Lepisosteus oculatus: one gene and its partner. The protein of the gene in region 1 interacts with the protein of each later gene in a biochemical or structural test. Links are inferred from orthologs where the notes say so. Each region holds a gene or a part of one and is shown on either strand. Other genes may lie near its edges.

What was found.
Region 2: the proteins of mcm5 (region 1) and mcmbp form a complex in vitro, tested with the Homo sapiens proteins (2 studies listed by BioGRID). The link is inferred for Lepisosteus oculatus from reciprocal best matches to the Homo sapiens genes MCM5 and MCMBP.

What each region holds. Positions count from the first base shown.
Region 1 is NC_090707.1:39,634,748-39,646,704, reverse strand, and holds the start of mcm5 (DNA replication licensing factor MCM5), read left to right. Parts: upstream 1-6,750; 5' UTR 6,751-6,861; coding exon 6,862-7,028; intron 7,029-7,256; coding exon 7,257-7,383; intron 7,384-7,522; coding exon 7,523-7,651; intron 7,652-8,730; coding exon 8,731-8,903; intron 8,904-8,982; coding exon 8,983-9,138; intron 9,139-9,214; coding exon 9,215-9,381; intron 9,382-11,229; coding exon 11,230-11,401; intron 11,402-11,486; coding exon 11,487-11,598; intron 11,599-11,684; coding exon 11,685-11,828; intron 11,829-11,908; coding exon 11,909-11,957. Other genes in the region: gcat (2-amino-3-ketobutyrate coenzyme A ligase, mitochondrial), read left to right, coding at 46-147, 248-394, 1,106-1,260, 1,349-1,431, 3,307-3,478, 3,808-3,929, 4,438-4,589. UniProt on the Homo sapiens protein: Acts as a component of the MCM2-7 complex (MCM complex) which is the replicative helicase essential for 'once per cell cycle' DNA replication initiation and elongation in eukaryotic cells.
Region 2 is NC_090699.1:33,811,641-33,822,933, reverse strand, and holds the start of mcmbp (mini-chromosome maintenance complex-binding protein), read left to right. Parts: upstream 1-5,950; 5' UTR 5,951-6,077; coding exon 6,078-6,135; intron 6,136-7,400; coding exon 7,401-7,483; intron 7,484-7,849; coding exon 7,850-7,990; intron 7,991-8,560; coding exon 8,561-8,602; intron 8,603-9,541; coding exon 9,542-9,644; intron 9,645-10,248; coding exon 10,249-10,377; intron 10,378-10,624; coding exon 10,625-10,782; intron 10,783-11,180; coding exon 11,181-11,278; intron 11,279-11,293. Other genes in the region: sec23ip (SEC23-interacting protein), read right to left, coding at 519-1,057, 4,158-4,284. UniProt on the Homo sapiens protein: Associated component of the MCM complex that acts as a regulator of DNA replication.

The DNA of each region.
Region 1 (11,957 bases):
TCGGGGGCCCCAGTGTCTCGGTCATCGGTGTCTCTGCTCACTCAGGATCTGCACAAGTCTCTGGAGAGGAAGTTGGCTCAGTTCCACGAGAGAGAGGATGCGATCCTGTACGCCAGCTGCTTCGATGCCAACGCAGGAATCTTCGAGGTACAGACACTCTCTCTCACCCTCACACTCACTCTCTCACTCTCTCTTCATACTGTCTCTCACACTCCGGAGTTTCCCTGTGTCCTGTCCTGCCTGTCAGGTCCTGCTCACTCCGGACGACGCCGTGCTGTCGGATGAGCTCAATCACGCGTCCATCATCGATGGGATTCGCCTCTGCAAGGCCCACAAGTACCGGTACCGGCACCTTGACCTCAACGACCTGGAGGACAAGCTGAAAGCTGCCCAGGTACTGATCCACATCCAGCTGTACTGCATACAGTATGGTAGTGTGTCAGTGTGCAGGAGGAGTGTGTGTATTAACCCCTCAGTGTGCAGGAGTGTGTGTATTAACCCCTCTCTCTCAGTGCAGTGTCAGTGTACAGTAGTGTGCAGGAGGAGTGTGTGTATTAACCCATCTCTCTCTCTCAGTGCAGTGTCAGTGTACAGTAGTGTGCAGGAGGAGTGTGTGTATTAACCCATCTCTCTCTCTCAGTGCAGTGTCAGTGTACAGTAGTGTGCAGGAGGAGTGTGTGTATTAACCCCTCTCTCTCTCAGTGCAGTGTCAGTGTACAGTAGTGTGCAGGAGGAGTGTGTGTATTAACCCCTCTCTCTCTCTCAGTGCAGTGTCAGTGTACAGTAGTGTGCAGGAGGAGTGTGTGTATTAACCCCTCTCTCTCAGTGCAGTGTCAGTGTACAGTAGTGTGCAGGAGGAGTGTGTGTATTAACCCCTCTCTCTCAGTGCAGTGTCAGTGTACAGTAGTGTGCAGGAGGAGTGTGTGTATTAACCCCTCTCTCTCTCTCAGTGCAGTGTCAGTGTACAGTAGTGTGCAGGAGGAGTTTGTGTATTAACCCCTCTCTCTCTCTCAGTGCAGTGTCAGTGTACAGTAGTGTGCAGGAGGAGTGTGTGTATTAACCCCTCAGTGTGCAGGAGTGTGTACTAACCCCTCTCTCTCTGTAGAAACACAGGCTCCGGCTCATCGCCACAGATGGGGTGTTCTCAATGGACGGGGATGTGGCTCCCCTGCGGGGGGTGTGTGACCTGGCGGAGAGATATGGGGCGCTGGTCTTCATCGATGAGTGCCACGCCACCGGATTCCTGGGGCCGCGCGGACGGTGAGGGCGAGTGGGGTGTCCCCCCAGTGTCCCCCCGACGTCCCCCCGGCTGTGACCGGGCTCATGCTGTTCCCCTCCTGTCCTGCAGGGGCACCGACGAGCTGCTGGGGGTGATGGACCGAGTTCACATTGTCAACTCCACGCTGGGCAAGGCTCTTGGGGGCGCTGCTGGTGAGACCCCTCCCTGTCTGTCTGTGTCCAGTTTCTCTGGCCAGGCTGTGGTCACTGAGCCTGTCCTCTCTGGACAGCCAGGTCTGCCTGTGTCCAGTGTCTCTGGCCAGGCTGTGGTCACTGAGCCTATCCTCTCTGGACAGCCAGGTCAGTCTGTGTCCAGTGTCTCTGTCCAGGCTGTGGTCACTGAGCCTGTCCTCTCTGGACAGCCAGGTCTGTCTGTGTCCAGTGTCTCTGGCCAGGCTGTGCTCAGTGACCCCGTCCTCTCTGGCCAGGGTGTGTCCAGGCTGTGCTCAGTGAGCCGGTCCTCTCTGGCCGGGCTGTGTCCAGGCTGTGCTCAGTGAGCCGGTCCTCTCTGGCCGGGCTGTGTCCAGGCTGTGCTCAGTGACCCGGTCCTCTCTGGCCAGGCTGTGTCCAGGCTGTGCTCAGTGAGCCGGTCCTCTCTGGCCAGGCTGTGTCCAGGCTGTGTCCAGTGAGCCGGTCCTCTCTGGCCGGGCTGTGTCCAGTGAGCCGGTCCTCTCTGGCCGGGCTGTGCTCAGTGAGCCGGTCCTCTCTGGCCAGGCTGTGTCCAGGCTGTGGTCAGTGACCTGGTCCTCTCTGGCCAGGCTGTGCTCAGTGAGCCTGTCCTCTCTGGCCGGGCTGTGTCCAGGCTGTGTCCAGTGAGCCGGTCCTCTCTGGCCGGGCTGTGCTCAGTGAGCCGGTCCTCTCTGGCCGGGCTGTGTCCAGGCTGTGTCCAGTGAGCCGGTCCTCTCTGGCCGGGCTGTGCTCAGTGAGCCGGTCCTCTCTGGCCAGGCTGTGTCCAGGCTGTGCTCAGTGAGCCGGTCTTCTCTGGCCAGGCTGTGTCCAGTGAGCCGGTCCTCTCTGGCCGGGCTGTGTCCAGGCTGTGCTCAGTGAGCCGGTCCTCTCTGGCCGGGCTGTGCTCAGTGAGCCGGTCCTCTCTGGCCGGGCTGTGTCCAGGCTGTGTCCAGTGAGCCGGTCCTCTCTGGCCAGGCTGTGCTCAGTGAGCCGGTCCTCTCTGGCCAGGCTGTGCTCAGTGAGCCGGTCCTCTCTGGCCGGGCTGTGTCCAGGCTGTGTCCAGTGAGCCGGTCCTCTCTGGCCGGGCTGTGCTCAGTGAGCCGGTCCTCTCTGGCCGGGCTGTGCTCAGTGAGCCGGTCCTCTCTGGCCGGGCTGTGTCCAGGCTGTGTCCAGTGAGCCGGTCCTCTCTGGCCAGGCTGTGCTCAGTGAGCCGGTCCTCTCTGGCCGGGCTGTGAGTGAGCCGGTCCTCTCTGGCCGGGCTGTGTCCAGGCTGTGTCCAGTGAGCCGGTCCTCTCTGGCCGGGCTGTGTCCAGGCTGTGCTCAGTGAGCCGGTCCTCTCTGGCCAGGCTGTGTCCAGTGAGCCGGTCCTCTCTGGCCGGGCTGTGTCCAGGCTGTGTCCAGTGAGCCGGTCCTCTCTGGCCAGGCTGTGCTCAGTGAGCCGGTCCTCTCTGGCCGGGCTGTGCTCAGTGAGCCGGTCCTCTCTGGCCGGGCTGTGTCCAGGCTGTGTCCAGTGAGCCAGTCCTCTCTGGCCGGGCTGTGTCCAGGCTGTGCTCAGTGAGCCGGTCCTCTCTGGCCGGGCTGTGTCCAGGCTGTGTCCAGTGAGCCGGTCCTCTCTGGCCGGGCTGTGTCCAGGCTGTGCTCAGTGAGCCGGTCCTCTCTGGCCGGGCTGTGTCCAGGCTGTGTCCAGTGAGCCGGTCCTCTCTGGCCGGGCTGTGTCCAGGCTGTGTCCAGTGACCCGGTCCTCTCTGGCCGGGCTGTGTCCAGTGAGCCGGTCCTCTCTGGCCGGGCTGTGAGTGAGCCGGTCCTCTCTGGCCGGGCTGTGTCCAGGCTGTGTCCAGTGACCCGGTCCTCTCTGGACAGGGGGTTATACCGTGGGCCCGCGGTCCCTGGTGGAGCTCCTGCGCCAGCGCTCCAGGCCGTACCTCTTCTCCAACACGCTGCCCCCGGCTGTGGTGGGCTGCGCCAGCAAGGCCCTGGACCTGCTCACGGCCTCCAGCCAGATCGCACAGAGCATGGCGGACAAGACCAGGAGGTCAGCAGGGGGGTCAGTGTGAGTGTGTGTGAGTGTGAGGGAGGGAGGGAGTGTGAGTGTGGGTGTCTGTGAGAGAGTGTGTGTGAGGGAGTGTATGTGAGTGTGAGTGTGTGTGAGTGTGAGGGACAGTGTGTGAGTGTGAGGGAGGGAGGGAGGGAGTGTGAGGGACAGTGTGTGAGAGGGAGTGTGAGTGTGGGTGTCTGTGAGAGAGTGTGTGTGAGGGAGTGTATGTGAGTGTGAGTGTGTGTGTGTGTGTGTGAGGGAGTGTATGTGAGTGTGAGTGTGTGTGTGTGTGAGGGACAGAGTGTTAACCTGCTCCTCTGTCTCAGGTTCCGGGTGGCGATGACAGAAGCGGGGTTCGCAATTTCGGGGTCAGATCATCCCATCTGCCCCGTCATGCTGGGTGATGCCCGTCTGGCCTCCCTCATGGCTGATGACCTTCTAAAGAAAGGTGGGAGCCCTGGCACCCCTGTGTCCGACTGTTCCAGCCCCTGGCACCCCTGTGTCCGACTGTTCCAGCCCCTGGCACCCCTCTGTCTGACTGTACCAGCCCCTGACACCCCCCTGTGACTGTTCCAGCCCCTGAAACCCCTCTGTCTGACTGTACCAGCCCCTGACACCCCTGTGTCTGACTGTTCCAGCCCCTGACACCCCTGTGTCTGACTGTACCAGCCCCTGACACCCCTGTGTCTGACTGTTCCAGCCCCTGACACCCCTCTGTCTGACTGTACCAGCCCCTGACACCCCCCTGTGACTGTTCCAGCCCCTGAAACCCCTCTGTCTGACTGTACCAGCCCCTGACACCCCTGTGTCTGACTGTACCAGCCCCTGAAACCCCTCTGTCTGACTGTTCCAGCCCCTGACACCCCTGTGTCTGACTGTTCCAGCCCCTGACCAGGTGCACAGTCACAGTCTGACTGTGCCGGCTGCCTGCGGATCAACTCCTTTCTCTCCACCAGGGATCTACGTGATCGGATTCAGCTATCCTGTGGTTCCGAAGGGGAAGGCTCGGATCCGGGTCCAGATCTCAGCGGCGCACAGTGATGATGACATCGACAGCTGCGTCGCTGCCTTTGTGGAGGTGGGGCGCAGGCATGGCGTCGTGTCCTAGCTCCGCTGGTGCGCCCCCGATCCCCGCGGAGAGCAGTCGGCGTGCGGCTGTTTGTGCATCTTTGTGGGAGCGGGGGGGTCTGTGGGCGAGCAGGGGGTCTGTGGTGGGCAGGTGGGTGGGGACACAGTTTCTGTCAATAAAAGTGTTTTGGAGAGCTGTTGTCCCTTTGCTGTCCCTGCTGTTGGAGAGAATCCGCCGTAAACCCCGGAGCGGATCAGAGCTCTCTGCGCTGTAAACCCCGGAGCGGATCAGAGCTCTGTGCGCTGTAAACCCCGGAGCGGATCAGAGCTCTGTGGTTTGTTGTGCCCGTTGTGCCTTCTGGTGGTCGTTTAGGGTATTTCTCGCTATTCTGTCCCTGCTGCCTGGATGTGCCTGTCTCTGATACTGCTAAGTGCCTGCCTGTCATTAAGGTGTGCCCATTATCCCGCACAAGTATCTTTAAAAGTAGCGATCTGACCCCCAGCAGTGAGAGAGCTGAGCCGAGTCTCTCTCCTGTAGGGTGAGTAACACTTCCCTGCTGTGACCACCAGAGGGCGCCTCACTGCTAGTCTATTGATCTAGAGATGATAATAATAATAATAATAATAACAACCACCTTTATTTACAAAGCACCTGTCCAAGCCCAAGGACGCTGTACATAGTAATAAAGAGTCCAGTAAAAAAAACTGAATTAAAAATAGCATACAGGTTCACACAGAATAAGGGCAGACGATTCTGAGCTCGGATCTGAAGAGGGTTAAAAAGTTCTCTTACAACCGGAGGAAGGGCTTTACCATTCCTAAGGTTTAGGAATTATAAATTGAAAAGTATTTCTGTTGTAAAACGCATCAATAAAGATTACTGTAATATCCTTTACACGGAGGGTTGTGGGTTTTAGAACAGACGGCCCGGCCGGTTTCAGCGACACCCTGGGTCGGATTAATTAAAACCGGGGTAAGAGCTATTGCACAGGCGGACCGGATGGACTCCGCTCACGTGCGCCCCCTCTTCCGGGCCTTGTGACGCCTACAGTGAGCGCGGGGCGTTGTGGGATATGCGCGCTTCCGGCGTGACGTCAGACGTCCGTGTTTTTATTTAAATACAAAAGGAAAACACAACAAACGGGTATAAACATACAAATATCTAATGTCTCAACATGGCACAACAAGGTAGCAACGAGTGAATGAAACGGGGAAAAACACTGTTCCCAGTACAGAGGTCATGTGGTGTTAGGGGTTACATTAAATACGTTTATATGCCAAGAGCCTTTTGTAGACCAACTCACCAGGCTTATTTTGTAATATTTTCAGTGACTTAGAGTATAGCGTGAATGAGATAGAAAATTCTCTAAAGCTTATAGGATTCTTTTTTACTCTACACGAGTGTATGTAAACCTTTGCAAACAAGAGAATAACATTTACCATTATACGGACATCTTTGTTTGGATTCGAGACTCCGAGAACAGTATCTTTAAAAGTGAGATGTGCGCGAATATTACTATTGTATAGCCAAGAACAAACCGAGGGCCAGACAGTTGTTGAATGTTGACATGAGAAAAAAATGTGCGCTCTTCAGGACACTCTGCTCAAAGCGGTTTCCAGGTCCTGGGGATCCCCTCCACCCCCCGCAGTGTGCAGCCAGAGTGCGCCAGTCCGCGCCCCACACACCAGCTGAAGGACCACTGCACCTTCACGGACCGGGTCAACTCCAATGCGTCCTAACGATCTTCTGAAAAGAAAATGTATTTACTGGCCTGGCCGTCCGTGCCTCTAATGAAGCCAGTGTGGATAAAAAGCCTGTAACACAATCTAATATCTCCCACCGCTGCTCACAACTGTCAGATTCAAAGGGCTGTATTGGCAAGGCCGATTGCAGAGAAACATTCACAGACTTCTCCTTGTCACGACAGCCGCCATCATGTCCACAGCAAACAGGTCTCGCTTTCCCGCCAGCAGAAACCACACAGGCGGAGGGGGCGGGGTCGGACAACCCTCTCACCCAATCGGAAACCTCTCCCACAACGCAGTGGGCGTCCCCCCCGGAGATTCCCGCGAAAAGTGGAGAGGGGGAGGAGCGAGCCGGGGAAGCGCTTCAGCCAATCGAGTGCGGCCTCTGCGAGCCCAAGCCAATCAGAAGGGGCAGGAGGCTCGGAGCCCCGGCGCGTCACCAGGGAAACGGGCAGTAACGCCCCTTCGGTTTTGCCGCGAAAGCGCGGCGTGGTGCAGCTCATTGTCCTGGACTGAGCGGTTGCGCTTCTTTCTGCTCATACGGGAGGTGACAGAAGCAGAACAAAATGTCGGGCTTCGATGATCCGGGCATCTTCTACAGCGACAGCTTCGGGGGAGACTCCCAGGGGGACGAAGGCACAGTGAAGCGGACCCAAGTGAAGAAGCGCTTTAAGGAGTTTTTGCGGCAGTTTCGAGTCGGAACCGACCGGACCGGGTTCACCTTCAAATACAGGTCGGACCCAGACTAAGGCCACTTAACGGTGTAGTAGTTAATCAAACTGAGGATCCCTGTAATTGTGTAGCGGTGTGTGAGCTTTTAAAGGGGTTGTGCTGTTGTGTGTCCAGGGATGAGCTGAAGCGGCGCTACACGCTGGGGCAGTACTGGGTGTTGTGATGATGTTGTGTGTCCTGGCTGGACTGTGGGTGTTGTGATGATGGGGTTGTGCTGTTGTGTGTCCAGGGATGAGCTGAAGCGGCGCTACACGCTGGGGCAGTACTGGGTGGAGGTTGAGATGGAGGACTTGTCCAGTTTTGATGAGGACCTGGCTGACTGCATCTACAAACAGCCCACTGAGCACCTGCCTCTGGTGAGTCTCTAGCGCCAACTGTACAACCTCCGCAGGCACCTGACTGCAAGCTCTGTTCCCCTCTCCCGCCGCTCTCGGTGTAAGGACATGCTCCACGACCTGAGTGACACACGTGCTGCTTTGCTCTGTCCAATCACAGCTGGAAGAGGCCGCGCAGGAAGTGGCTGATGAGGTGACGAGGCCCCGCCCCGTTGAGGAGGAGGCAGTACAGGAGGTGCAGGTCATGCTGAAGTCAGACAGCAACCCGGCCAACATCCGCAGCCTGAAGGTACAGTATTAACCCCTCTCTCTCAGTGCAGTGTCAGTGTACAGTAGTGTGCAGGAGGAGTGTGTGTATTAACCCCTCTCTCTCAGTGCAGTGTCAGTGTACAGTAGTGTGCAGGAGGGGTGTGTGTATTAACCCCTCTCTCTCTCTCAGTGCAGTGTCAGTGTACAGTAGTGTACAGGAGGAGTGTGTGTATTAACCCCTCTCTCTCAGTGCAGTGTCAGTGTACAGTAGTGTGCAGGAGGAGTGTGTGTATTAACCCCTCTCTCTCTCAGTGCAGTGTCAGTGTACAGTAGTGTGCAGGAGGAGTGTGTGTATTAACCCCTCTCTCTCAGTGCAGTGTCAGTGTACAGTAGTGTGCAGGAGGAGTGTGTGTATTAACCCCTCTCTCTCTCAGTGCAGTGTCAGTGTACAGTAGTGTGCAGGAGGAGTGTGTGTATTAACCCTTCTCTCTCTCAGTGCAGTGTGAGTGTACAGGAGTGTGCAGGAGGAGTGTGTATTAACCTCTCTCTCTCTCAGTGCAGTGTCAGTGTACAGTAGTGTGCAGGAGGAGTGTGTGTATTAACCCCTCTCTCTCTCAGTGCAGTGTCAGTGTAGAGTAGTGTGCAGGAGGAGTGTGTATTAACCCCTCTCTCTCTCAGTGCAGTGTCAGTTTACAGTACTGTGCAGGAGGAGTGTGTGTATTAACCCCTCTCTCTCTCTCAGTGCAGTGTCAGTGTACAGTGGTGTGCAGGAGGAGTGTGTGTATTAACCCCTCTCTCTCTCAGTGCAGTGTCAGTGTACAGTAGTGTGCAGGAGGAGTGTGTGTATTAACCCCTCTCTCTCTCAGTGCAGTGTCAGTGTGCAGTAGTGTGCAGGAGGAGTGTGTGTATTAACCCCTCTCTCTCAGTGCAGTGTCAGTGTACAGTAGTGTGCAGGAGGAGTGTGTGTATTAACCCCTCTCTCTCTCACTGCAGTGTCAGTGTGCAGTAGTGTGCAGTAGTGTGCAGTAGTGTGCAGTAGTGTGCAGTAGTGTGCAGTAGTGTGCAGGAGTGTGCAGTAGTGTGCAGGAGGAGTGTGTATTAACCGGTGTCTCTCTGCAGTCGGAGCAGGTGTGCCGGCTGGTGAAGATCCCAGGGATCGTGGTGTCGTCCTCAGCGGTGCGGGCGAAGGCGGTGCGCATGGCGCTGCAGTGCCGCGGGTGTCGCTCTGTGATGTCCAACATCGCCGTGCGCCCGGGGCTGGAGGGCTACAGCCTGCCGCGCAAGTGCAACACGTGAGTCCCCCGCGCGGCCCGGGCTCGCTCCTGCCGGCCTCTGCCTCTCCCCCCTCTCACCCCGTCCCCGTGTCCGCAGGGAGCAGCCGGGCCGGGTCAAGTGCCCGGTCGACCCGTACTTCATCGTGCCGGACAAGTGCGTGTGCGTGGACTACCAGACGCTCAAGCTGCAGGAGGCGCCCGACGCCGTGCCGCACGGAGAGATGCCCCGGCACCTGCAGCTGTACTGCGACAGGTGGGGGCCGTGCCCTGGGGGGGCGGGGGGCCGGGGGGCCGGGGGCCGCGAGCCTGACACCTGCCTGTCCGCGCAGGTACCTCTGCGACCGCGTCGTGCCGGGGAACCGCGTGACCGTGATGGGCATCTACTCCATCCGCAAGGCCGGCAAGACCAGCAGCAAGGGGCGGGACCGCGCCGGGGTCGGCCTCCGCTCCTCCTACCTGAGGGTCGTGGGCATCCAGGTGGACACTGAGGGCGCAGGTGAGGGGACCCCAGAGACCTGCTGTGTGACCTCCAGGCCACAGTGAGGCGCTCTGCTCCTCTCTCATCTGTCCTGTCTGCTGCTGTGTGACCTCCAGGCCACAGTGAGGCGCTCTGCTCCTCTCTCATCTGTCCTGTCTGCTGCTGTGTGACCTCCAGGCCACAGTGAGGCGCTCTGCTCCTCTCTCATCTGTCCTGTGTCTGTGTGTGACCTCCAGGCCACAGTGAGGCGCTCTGCTCCTCTCTCATCTGTCCTGTCTGCTGCTGTGACCTCCAGGCCACAGTGAGGCGGTCTGCTCCTCTCTCACCCTGTCCTGTCTGCTGCTGTGTGACCTCCAGGCCACAGTGGGGCGCTCTGCTCCTCTCTCACCCTGTCCTGTCTGCTGCTGTGTGACCTCCAGGCCACAGTGGGGCGCTCTGCTCCTCTCTCATCTGTCCTGTGTCTGTGTGTGACCTCCAGGCCACAGTGAGGCGCTCTGCTCCTCTCTCATCTGTCCTGTCTGCTGCTGTGACCTCTAGGCCACAGTGAGGCGCTCTGCTCCTCTCTCACCCTGTCCTGTCTGCTGCTGTGTGACCTCCAGGCCACAGTGAGGCGCTCTGCTCCTCTCTCATCTGTCCTGTCTGCTGCTGTGACCTCTAGGCCACAGTGAGGCGCTCTGCTCCTCTCTCACCCTGTCCTGTCTGCTGCTGTGTGACCTCCAGGCCACAGTGGGGCGCTCTGCTCCTCTCTCATCTGTCCTGTCAGCTGCTGTGTGACCTCCAGGCCACAGTGGGGCGCTCTGCTCCTCTCTCATCTGTCCTGTCTGCTGCTGTGTGACCTCCAGGCCACAGTGAGGCGCTCTGCTCCTCTCTCATCTGTCCTGTCTGCTGCTGTGTGACCTCCAGGCCACAGTGAGGACCTCTGCTCCTCTCTCATCTGTCCTGTGTCTGTGTGTGACCTCCAGGCCACAGTGAGGCGCTCTGCTCCTCTCTCATCTGTCCTGTGTCTGTGTGTGACCTCCAGGCCACAGTGAGGCGCTCTGCTCCTCTCTCATCTGTCCTGTCTGCTGCTGTGTGACCTCCAGGCCAGTGAGGCGCTCTGCCCCTCTCTCATCTGTCCTGTCTGCTGCTGTGTGACTTCCAGGCCACAGTGAGGCGCTCTGCCCCTCTCTCATCTGTCCTGTCTGCTGTGTGACCTCCAGGCCACAGTGAGGCGCTCTGTTCCTCTCTCATCTGTCCTGTGTCTGTGTGTGACCTCCAGGCCACAGTGAGGCGCTCTGCTCCTCTCTCATCTGTCCTGTCTGCTGCTGTGTGACCTCCAGGCCACAGTGAGGCGCTCTGCTCCTCTCTCACCCTGTCCTGTCTGCTGCTGTGTGACCTCCAGGCCACAGTGAGGACCTCTGCTCCTCTCTCACCCTGTCCTGTGTCTGTGTGTGACCTCCAGGCCACAGTGAGGCGCTCTGCCCCTCTCTCACCCTGTCCTGTGTCTGTGTGTGACCTCCAGGCCACAGTGGGGCGCTCTGCTCCTCTCTCACCCTGTCCTGTCTGCTGCTGTGTGACCTCCAGGCCACAGTGAGGCGCTCTGCTCCTCTCTCATCTGTCCTGTCTGCTGCTGTGTGACCTCCAGGCCACAGTGGGGCGCTCTGCTCCTCTCTCATCTGTCCTGTCTGCTGCTGTGTGACCTCCAGGCCACAGTGGGGCGCTCTGCTCCTCTCTCATCTGTCCTGTCTGCTGCTGTGTGACCTCCAGGCCACAGTGAGGCGCTCTGCCCCTCTCTCACCCTGTCCTGTGTCTGTGTGTGACCTCCAGGCCACAGTGGGGCGCTCTGCCCCTCTCTCACCCTGTCCTGTGTCTGTGTGTGACCTCCAGGCCGCAGTGCTGTGGGCACCGTCTCTCCCCAGGAGGAGGAAGAGCTCCGCGCGCTGGCGGCCTCCCCTGGTGTGTATGAGTCTGTGGCGCGCAGTATAGCGCCCTCTATCTACGGGAGTCAGGACCTGAAGAAAGCCATCGCGTGCCTGCTGTTTGGCGGGTCCCGGAAAAGGTGAAGTCTTGATGAGCTGCAGCGTGTTCGTTAAACAGAAGTGCTGTCAGTGCGGGCCGGTGTGTGAACCCCTCTCTCTCCCCAGGCTCCCGGACGGCCTGACTCGCCGGGGCGACATCAATCTCCTGATGCTGGGGGACCCTGGGACGGCCAAGTCCCAGCTGCTGAAGTTTGTGGAGCGCTGCTCTCCTATTGGGGTATGGCCTGTGTCCGCCTGTGCGCCCCGCTGCGCCCCGTCTCTGTCTCTCTCTCGGGGGTGACGCCCTGTCTCTCTCCCCCGCAGGTCTACACCTCGGGCAAGGGCAGCAGCGCGGCAGGCCTGACCGCCTCCGTCATGCGCGACCCCGTCTCGCGCAGCTTCGTCATGGAGGGCGGCGCCATGGTGCTGGCGGACGGGGGCGTGGTCTGCATCGATGAGTTCGACAAGGTCAGAGGTCATGCCCGCGTGGGTTCGGCTCTGTCTCTCCTGCAGCTGCGGCTCTGACCCTCTTGTCTCTGCTCTTGCAGATGAGGGAGGACGATCGAGTGGCCATTCATGAGGCTATGGAGCAGCAGA
Region 2 (11,293 bases), on another chromosome or scaffold:
CCTCGTTCAGTTCCAATAAACTGGAGTTTAGTCATTTTGCAAAAAAACAAGGAATGAGCTAAAGCAGTACAAAGATGCAACGATATAAGAAGACTGAAGCTTTTTTGATATATTTGATTTTGATATATTACTTTAATTGTACATTTTTTTCCTGCAGGGACATGTATAGTTTAAAAATAAACCACGTAAAAATAACTCATAGGCTGTTGGGATTCCCCAGGAAGTGAAACATTATCTTGCTACGTTTTAGGTTAAAAAACCTATGAATAAAGAAGTAGTATTTAGTTAATTAAAACTAGTATTTTATGGCATACTGCATAGAAACCCGTCAGCAGGCACTTTAATCTATGCACTGTAATACAGATGCATCACTTGTATGCAGGCAGATCTGTAGACTTGACAGTCCTTCAACATCTTTGGAGCTATCCAGGTCACAGGTAATGTCTCCTAATATCATAGTGATCTAATGACTGTCCCTTGCTCGTGCAACAATATGAAAGACTGGACGAAGCAGTCACCTGTGATGGCGGCGGAGGCGGAGTCTGGAATGTCTGAGAGGGCGGGGCAGTAGGAGGAGCCTGCAGGAAAGCTGCCTGCTGAAGCTGCTGGGCCTGGCCTTGCTGCAGCTGGGGTGGAGCCAGATAGGGGTTGGCCCGGCTGCTCAAGGGAGTGTGGCGGTAGGGGTTGTATCCCGCTGGCTGAGCCTGTCCACTAGGTGGGGCTACGCTGCTCGGCGGTAGGGTGTACCCTGCCTGAGGGCCCGGAAAAGCTGCATTTCCAAACTGAGAAACCGGGGGCTGAGCGAAGTTTGACGGAGAGGCCGAGGTGGTGGGGTACACATTTTGTCCTGGGCAGACGGAAGGCAGAGAAACAGCCGGCCTCACTGAGGTCACTGTCCCTGCCGAAGATGCTGGAGAAGCACACTGCTGTCCTATCGAGGCAAAAGGATCACTGCTGGTTGTGGATTTAGAAAAGTAGCTGAAGGTAGGTGGGTGGTCTGCATTTTCTGATGTCTGGCCAAGGAAACTGTCCTCTTCTCCGACATCCGCTGAATCCTCTGTTTAAAAGAAAAGGCACAGAAACATTAGGCCAAGAACACAGACTTGGCAAGCCCAATGAGCTACATAATCAAGGTTCTAATATACTCCAACCTGCACCAAACCTTTTCAGTAAATCCCAGAGTTTAAGTGTAATTTACTCTCCAGACGAGCAAGGACAACAAGGCAAAATAGAATTACAGGAGATGACCTACTTCATCCACGACGAAGTGTAGCACCTACCTGGATGATACACTACAGTCATCACCACCCCTACCCTCTACACAGCACAACAGGTGAAGTGGGAAACTCCTTCACCTGCTCAGTGAACTTCATGCAGGCCCAATTAGACAGGCAAGCCTGGAGCAAAGTCTAGGTAGAACAAAAGGGTTTACACCCCAACTACTCTCATGAAAAGTGCCATGGGATCTTCACTAGCCCATTGAAATTCCAACATTCATACCCAAGCCCAGACAAAAAAAAACAGCCATAACCTGAAATTATGGTTGTTTTCACATTTTGGAAAGGTCAACTTTTTCAAGAAAACAGAACTGCCAAGTTTAGACCTCTGATCTAGCTGTTCTGGAATGATCATTTCGTACACTCTCCTTAAGGTGCGTTACATACAGTAGGAAACTGTTGCAAGGAGCTGATTAAGGAATCCTCTGTGAGTTGCAGTACACTGCAATTCTCTCACACATGCTAGATGACAGGGCACAAGCCAGGACATGACACATGAGCAGGAAATGGAGCTTCATACCCACCTCCATCCATTGCTTCAACTCGCAAAAACAGCATTTACACCTACTTTGGATCCTGACCCACAGCTGAAGAGCCCATGTGTTACAATGATTATCATTCTGTCCAATCAACTCTTTTTTGCCACACTAAACTACTTTCTATGTTTTTCACATTTAATCACAATAATACTATTATCTGTAAGCTTAAGCTTCCAAAGACTACGATTAAGCATCAAATTTCATAATTCCTCCTCACCTCTTTATGAAAAGAATGGACACATAGCTAGAGAGAGTAAAAGGTCTAAAAACTAGTCCAGTTTAATGCAAGACTGCTTGCTGTTGACTAGATTATGACTGAGACACTGCTGCTGAATCGCTATTGTGACATCAGTTAGATGGCACCAGCAGGCTTACTATGATGTCATTACGACTGAATCTGAAAATATTTTACTTCTTTATTCATAGGTTTTGCAACCTAAAAGTGGAATGAAAGTGGAACGTAGCAAGATAATATTCCACTTCCTGAGGAATCCCAACAGCCTATCAGGCATTTTTACTTGGTATATTTTTAAACTATACATGTCCCTGCAGAAAAACTAAAATAATATATCAAAATAATAAATAAAAGCTGTAGAAACACAAATACTCCTCTTATAATAACTAACAAAGATGCATGGCACTCCATGCTCAGAGTTCATGCATGTTAACCAGTAGTAATCAGTTCAACAGCAACACTCACTCTGGTATTCTCTTCATACTTTTACAGCCAGGGCTACAGATCCAAATATAACGGTTAATTGGAAATGTTCTTGGCTATGACTTCAAAGTAATTCATGCAGCAAAAAATCTTATCAAGCGACAGATGGTGTTCAGCATGGAAGTTCATGTTTGAAGACAACAAAACATAAAAAGGAAAAGAAACAACTACAAAACAGAACAAATACTAAAATTAGGCTCAACCTAAGTTGCTTCCCACACTAAATTAGGACCTAGTGACAAAGATCTTGGGTAAATTTAAGCTGGCAGCTTTTGATATGGTGCAACCTCCCTGTTCTGTACCACTGGGCATTTCTTCAAATAGTAGGTTAATTCCATGCTGAAAAGAGAAGAAAGAAAACACAATGTTTCGACCGTGGAGCCGTGTGAGGATGAGGAGGTTGCTCACACCCGAAGAAGGCTCAATGGCCAGAATGTTGTGTTTTCTTTCTTCACTTTTCAGCATGGAATAAACCTATTACTTGTTCCTTTGCAGCCTACGCATGCTGACACAGCTACCCACCTGAACTATTTCTTCAAATATATGTATACAGTATGTATTTTCCAGAATGATCTCTGAAAGACTTAATTTAACAGACCACCTATTTGCGGTTCACAGTTATACTGTTACAGGTCTTTATAAATTGATTAAATGGTTACCTATAAGGGCACGTCTAGTAAAAAGCATACTTAATACTCAGTTTCACTGCTTTAAAGATAACACATAATCAGAAAATATATCTGTAACCATTGTGTAATGTACACTTTATTAAAGAAATACTCAAATGAGGATGCAATTATAACATTTAAAAGGCAGGAAGCTTAGCTGATCACAGCTTAACTGTATGCTTGCTGATATGATAATGACAACTGAGACAACAACTAATCTCGCCCTCTTATACTACATAATGCCTGTTTACTCCAACACGACGTCGGTGAGGTGGCCAGTTCATCTTTGTGCCGGGCACTCTTCTAAATGTCACACTGACAGATTTTTCGTTTTCTAACAAAAAAGTTCATTTAATTCTGACCTTGCCATGATCGTTAATAGCAATAAAATATATTTCTAGTTTGATCCAATTAAAACGTAGCGAATTTTAAAGCTGTCTATCCTCACACACACAAATATCTTTAAATGTTGGGATTTTGAAAGTAAATAGAGCGCTATCAATACAATCGTATCGAGTATCGATCGATCATAGCTATTTACAGTAATTCATGACGGTTGGTGATGATCAACATTGTTAAGTTATTAATTAAAAAAATACTTAGGCAAATCAAAGTTTAGATCTACTTTTATAACACACTTCAAAGTGAAACGGCGTTGTGGCCTTGGCGTGTTGGTCTTTTAAAATCAAATGTAATCAATGAACACCGTAAAACTGAAACGTAATTGATAACCCTGCTTGTTCACGATATCAACAGGGACACTAATACGATTTTCGCACCGAACTGCATAAAAACTTCAAACAACCACAACAGCATTTTTGTGCTCACTCGAAACAACTGAAAAGCACAGCTGGCAGTTTTTTAATCGTCAGGTTAAATAAAGAGGCAGGAATAGGCGGACTATTTAGATTAATAATACTGCACCCGATTACTTCTCCAGTCTGTGGTACATTACCTCCCGAAAGCACCGCAGGCGCGGTGGCTTGACTGACAGGAATAAACGGTACGCTGAAGTTAAACTCCGGAGCCGTGGAGAAAAGCAGATTTGTGCTGGAACTGCTGTTCTGCTTCTTCTCAGCCATTTTCAGACATCAATTACACGTATCCTACCAGCTTCAGTTCTACGGACCGGATCTGGGGTAAAAGGTCGAGGTACGTCACACACAGCTGATCCGCTCATTGAGTAGCTTGCCACTAGTATCTTTGCCAGTAACCAAGATGGAAATCAACAGCTCTGAAGATGGTTCAAAACCAGCTAACAAGCAAAGTTGCAAAAAAAAAATCAAATATACTGTTAAACAGGAAACGTTAAGGTTGTAATGGCATTTTGCATTTCTTTTATTAATTAAATTGTATAATTAACAGACTATCACTTAATAATTATTATGAATGCAAGCATAACATAATTACAATTCAGAAAAATAGGAATTCCCTCATAAAACAGAATTTTAGACCGGTATTGGATGGCATAACAGGATTTAGCATTATTTATCAAATAAAGTATTGATTTGTAGTGGTTTTAGTGATATGAATATAGTCATACCAAATTTCAATACGACATAACTGCATGAAACTGATATTCCAAAATCCTGAAACTGCAGACAGTATTGTAGCAGGTCTATGCATAAGCTGTGGGGTTATCCATAAACTGTGGGCAGCCAGTTGATGTTTATTATTGTAGAATTCTTTGTAGCAGGTCTAACACCTGTTCTTAAGACTAAAGCATATTTGTCTGGCAGGCCTTTAGTCTCACTATGTAACAAGCCAGTTTTTGTACCTCCTACAAAGTTGTGTGGAAATGGTATATGGACTCTTTTACCTCACACAGAGCTGACCCTTATCGATTCGAGGAAAGAGCAACACTAAGCACTAAGTGTTGCTGTTCAGGGAAAGCTCAGTGTTCCTAAAAAAATATCTCAAGCTTTTATTTGCTATGTAGCACTTTTCTGTTGGTTGTAAGAGGTGTTGTTTGAGATGCACAGCGCAGTCCCCTCTCTCCATTTTTTAAATCATTTTCTGGTGCTTTTGATTGGAAATCAAATGGTAATGGAAATCACAGTCATCTTCTCAAATGCACATCTGTCTTCCAACTGACAAAAAAATAATTCAAGAAGGCATCTGTGGCAGAGTGCATAGGCAGCAAAGGAACAAGTTAAGGTTTATTCCATGCTGAAAAGAGAAGAAAAGAAACACACTGTTTCGGCTGTAGAGTCTTCTTCAGGTTGTCTTTTCAAAAGACAACCTTTTCAAAACAAAAAGGATTCTATTTATATGCCTGATATCCCTAGAAATAAAGCTAACACAGGGCAAATTCTTTTCTTCAAAGCCTCAAAGCACCTAAGTATGGTGAGGCTGTGGAAGGTAATTTCCTTATCATTGTACTATTCTCTAACATATATAATGCTTTTTTATTATTCTAACAGATGAATGTTCGAAATAAAAGCAGAGGTCCCCACTTTAGGCATTTATGGACAGTTATATCTTCTTTAGCAAATGGTTTAAATGTATGAATGTATGGCAGTTTAAACATTCTATATTTGGGAGTAAATTTCATCACGGGAAAATAGTTCAAGGAGCTCAAACAATGTTGAAAGTTCAACGTGGAAAACAAAGAAAGATGTGTTAAAGTTAAATTCTCCCAGCATGAAGACGCCCACAGTAAAAATGGCGTCAAAGCGGTTTCAGTAGGTCTCTGACGCAATACTTGCGGCAAAGTTCAGAGGTTCATCTCTGGTGACGTAAATTTCCCGCCATTGTGAATTGTCCCTTGGAGCTGCGTGAGTTTCTGAATCTGGTTCCTGTAGTGAAGAATTGTATTTTCAAATTTACTTTTCTCGCGCTCCAAGCAATCAACTACAGTTTAAAGCAAGCAAAGATGCCTTCTGCTCTAGATTGGATTAACAGCCCTTTAAGCGTTGTGCAGGGATTTTTTGGTAAGTGGATCTTTTTGCAACGATGCGTTTTATGCAGTTTCTCAGCAAATTGCGATCCAATTTGAAATGCATGTAGCCTATTCACATACCGAGTTTATGTCATATAACAGTAGTTTAATATCTATCTTCAACCGCAGAAAGTAGTGCTACAATTTGTTTACTGTCAAAAAGTCACGGGAAAAGTTATGGTTCCTGTTTCTTAAACTTTCACAGTACGCGAAATGTGTCCAGAAATCGAATGTACATTCTTCAATATTATAGTATGTCAATATTATAAGAACCTAGGAAACAAGATCTACTGATATATGATCTGATGCTGGATGTTGGTAAAGGATAATTTTGGTTGCTTTAACCCGTACTAGAGAGATTTAAACCGCGGATAGAGAATCTGATTTTGCCTATTTTATAGATGTTTAAAAAAGTAACTATATATGCTCAGGATGTTGTCTATAACTATTTCTTTCTGTTGTGTGGCTTCCTATGTTTGATCATGTTCGCCACTCACTGTTGTCACATGTTGCTGGACTCTTCTGAGCCTCAGGCGTGGTGTAAACAGTGCAAATCGAAACTAGGGGATTAGATGCATTTCATCCGGAGAAGCACGGTCATAGAGTGCGAGAAACAAAATCCCTTTCGGACATGGATTTTAGCCTCGTTGCAGGAATTTGGCAAAGCTAAATGACTGAATTGATTTAATTGCACGAATTAAGTGCTCGCTTTGGATCGGGATAGTTTATCTACCCCGATCGCTGTACTACCGCGGAGCAACTACTGAGATTTTTTAATTAATAGCATAAGATAAAAAAAATACGTGTTTTAAAAAAAAACAAGAAACCTGTAACGCCCTCCCTTTTCCAACTTTTACGTTAATTATTCGATTTGTATAATATCACTGTTAACTTTTCGTTTTAACGATAGAATAATGTACTGTAAATTAGATCATTACTTTTTCATTAACGTATTAAGTATAGATCAACTAAAAAAGTATGACTCTTTGAAGGTGGTCACAGCTCATTAACCCAGATGTTTGTGTTTAATGAGTAGTCTCAATTCCATGTAAAAGCAACCCCTAACTGAAAGCAATTTATATATTTGGGCGGTAGGAGTTTTCCACTACATCAGGTAGCAAAAATCTTAACTAAATATTTTTCCACAAGTTTTGCATTTCGAGACGAATGGGTGCACCTCTTATAACAGAATGGGTAATCGGTGCACCTCTCCTCAATCTAGTTCAGTGCTCTAGTTCACTCTCCGCGTTCTTGCAGCTCAGACCCCCAATCCTGAATGGGAGAAGAAAGTGGTGGAGTATTTTAAAGAGAAGCTAAAAGTGAATGATGCAGCAAACTGGGTAAGTCTGAGTTTGTCCTCTTACCGAAAGGATCAAAAACAATGATATTTAGATTTGAAACCTCCATATATAATTGTAACTATTACAGTACATACTGTACTTGCTCGCTTTTCTACTTATCCTGCATGTGTATTGGGGCTGCCTGGGTATAATAACCCAATATAATAGAGTGTCGCTTAGTTGGATACAGCACTGTGCTGATGCTGTGGAATTGTAAATAAATGCATACATGCTGACGTGTAGTTAATTTCTCTGTTGTTCCATGTGTGCTTGCCACAAGCAATGGACAGTCCAATGGATCACACACTAACTAATAAGGTTAAGTGTAACCTAACAGCTATGAATAGTGCTGTTTTGTTTTACCAGGTTCCTTCTTTAAATGATGTTCCTCTACACTACCTGAAGCCTGACAGTCTGGTCAAGTTCCGGTGTATGGTGCAGGACATGTTTGATCCGGAGTTCTACATGGGAGTGTACGAAACCGTTGACCCCGTTTCGAAAGAACGAGTGAGTACCCAGCCTGTCTCTTCTGCCTTCCCATCGTTTGGTGTCATCACCCTTCGCGGCTGCTGTGGACATTACTGTCGTAAGGGGGGTTTTTGTTTGGTTCGCTGCATCCTGTTTCACAGGATGGCAAGTCTGAAATGCTACTGAGAGGAATTCTTTCCTTTCATGATTGCGGGTCTCTTCATAGTTGTCACTATAATAAATAAAATGCTGGATGAAAACATCAGAGTAATTTGCTTACGTATAAAAATAAAGCAGTCTTTAACACTGGAAGTTGTGAGTATTTTTGGTTTGATGAATTCACAATCAGAATTGTTGCATTCCTTAATTGATGACTGCCAGGCAATAGTTGACTATCGCTCTGCCATCTTCTCTGTGCTTTTGTACCATCGTTCACTTGCATATATCCATCTGCTGTGATTCGTAAGGAAAATAGCTTTTCAGCCTCTTAAGACTTAAACATGATTCGTGATACTTGCAAAACTGCTGTTTTGTTTCGGCATGGCTTTCTGCCATGTGACCATCACACAGCGACTCCTATTTTAACTGGTGCCTTGTTGTTTCTTGCAGATGTTGCGATTTGGAAAATACAGAGACATTGCAGAATGTGGGGTAAGTGATGATCCTTTTTTCTACATGTATATTAAGCTGTAGAGCCTTGCAGCAATAACAGGTTAGGCCAGCAGACACTGTGTAGGACGGTTTCTGTATCAATGCAGTGCATGTGTTTGCACCATGGAATCAGGTGGTTAGGAGAATGCAGTGCTGCTACACGTGATGGAAGCCATTTTACTCCCTGGACTTTGGCAGCCTGTAAAAGACTGAGAAATCCCTGACAACCGTACTTTGGTAAAACACAACAAGGTTTAAACTGAGCAACTTGCTTGATAACGACAGACCTCAGGAAGGTCACAGAACAAAAGACCTTGGTACAAAGCTAACAGGCAGGTTCATGGTCTGTAAAATGGATGAGAGAGCCTAACTCTCTGACCCAACCAGCTGGAGGCCAGTCTGACTATATTAAACGGTGAAAAGGTTTCACCAACCATCAGAAACCAATGCACATTAGCCACAACCACATGGTTTGGGTGTGGAGGTCTTATAAACTTCACGTAGTTTAGTTTGAGATGAAATATACAAAATGTCACAGTTAAGAATAGTAATTCAAGAATAAAAAAATATGAATAAAAGGCTTTCATTTGGCATATCTTTAAGAAACCTTTTGGTTACTGTTTGCTTTATAAAGGTACCATGAATATGTGCCTGAACCCTTCAAGGGTAAAAATGTAAGTTCATAAGATTATGATGTTTCTAATGGATGTGTTTTTATATGACCATTTATTCATTAAAAAGGCTAAGTCATGGACCAGGGTTTCTTCCTACATCAATTTTGTTTGAAGAGTGTCTATGTGGGAGTAAATAGAGTGTTATTCTGGATACGGTTTTCCATTAGGGGGCAGCAGAACTACATTGCTATCTCTGCATTTAATCCCAGAATGTACTCACTGTTAAAAAGCTGATAACTTCTCTTTCTAATTTGAATGCTTTTAGCCTCAGCAGGAAGTCGACCTGAACTCGAACAAGAGTGTAACTCTGGAGAGACAAACCTTCTATTGTGTGCCTATTCCTGGAGAGTCCCCTTGGGTGAAAGAGATATCCTTTCATTTGTTTTTTGAAAATATGATATAGGGTTAGATTTGCCGATTGATCACACTTGGCATTTTTGGATCTGAGAAAGCCAGAATATCAGAACTGTCTGCCACTCATTTGCTGAACAGATTTTAAAGTCGGTTGGAGAGCATTTAAACATCAACTAATGAAATGTCCATTTGATAAAGAATGTAGGTGCTTCAACTACTTGCCAAGCGTTGTCTCAAAATTGTAAAGAATCGTGAAAGAAAGGGTAACAAGCATAAATCTTGTGATAGAGGTAATATGCCAACTCAGATGTTTTTATTTAAAACTCATTCAGTATTTTTTAAAGCTCTGTGGATGGTAAAAGTCTGCAGAAGAGAGAACTCAGCAGTGTGAACATTCACAAGTCTTGATAGTTTTGAGTCAGTCAACAGCAAAACTCAAGTTGTTAATGTGTGCTGGAGGTTAAGGAGTGGCAAAACAATTTAGAATGTTTCTGTTAGCATGCAAAATCTTTGTTGATTCAGAGACTAGCCACGCACGTTCTGTGTAATTTAGATGGCTCTGGTCTGACTCTGCTAGGCTGGTTTGCACTGTAATTGATCTTAACTTTGTCGTGCACACCTACGCCTGTGAAAGTCAGGCCCGTGTCAGTCCTTCAACATCTTACACACCCTGCCGTCACAAGCGCAGCTATGAGGAGGACGAAGATATGGACATGCAGCCTTCCAAACAAAAAGACCAGCTTTCAGGTATCTCAAGCTCTTACATCTAAAGAGAAGGCAAAGAGCAAGGCTTCTGTTTATAGCCGTGAATTGTAATTTTGACTCTGTTACCTTGGAGCTCAGAGCTTTTGCTTCGTTCTAATTTTTTTCGGTCCACCCAGAAATTGTTCGGTATTTAGAAACAAAGTCTACTCATTATAGTGTTAGAATGGAACTAGCAAATCACAGTTTGTCCTAGGTAGAAGGTTAAAGGAGTTGGCTTCCCCCTTTTCAGGACCGCCAGGGGTTGCTGAATCCCAGACCAGTGGAGACTCCAAGCGTCTGGAGACAGAAGCTCCATCCAGCCAGAGCAACTCTCTGCCTGGTTGCTCCTCCCCCCTTGACCTCAACTTCCCTCTTCCAGGAGAGAAGGGACCAGCCTGTCTTGTCAAGGTAATACCCTGACATGATCAGCACTCTTTAACTTTAGCTCTGTAGTTTTTTTTTTTGTCCATTCTGCTGTAGGAGGTGTGCCATAACAATTGCAGCAAAAAACAACTTTGCAGCGACAAAACTGTATCCATTGCCATGATTAACTCGAAATATTTTAAACAGAACTAATCCAAATCATGCTGTTACTGCGTTGTAATCAAAGTGTTACTTTTCAACGAGCTTGAACATTTATGTGACTAACTGAGAAAGCTGTGTAGTAAAATATTTCTTCAGAAAGAAAGACAAAATACCCCATCTTTATTTTTGTGTATTGTAAAGAAGCGTAGTAGGATACGAGTGTCCTTAAAAATGAAACACTGCTTGCACAGCCTGTAGCTCATGTGGCCTCTTTCTGTCAGATGTACGAGGACTGGGAGAGTGTCAAGGTAAACGACATGCTGGAAGTGTATGGAATCCTGTCAGTAGACCCAGTGCTGAGTGTACTGAATGAGGAAAGGTGAGGAATTGTTAC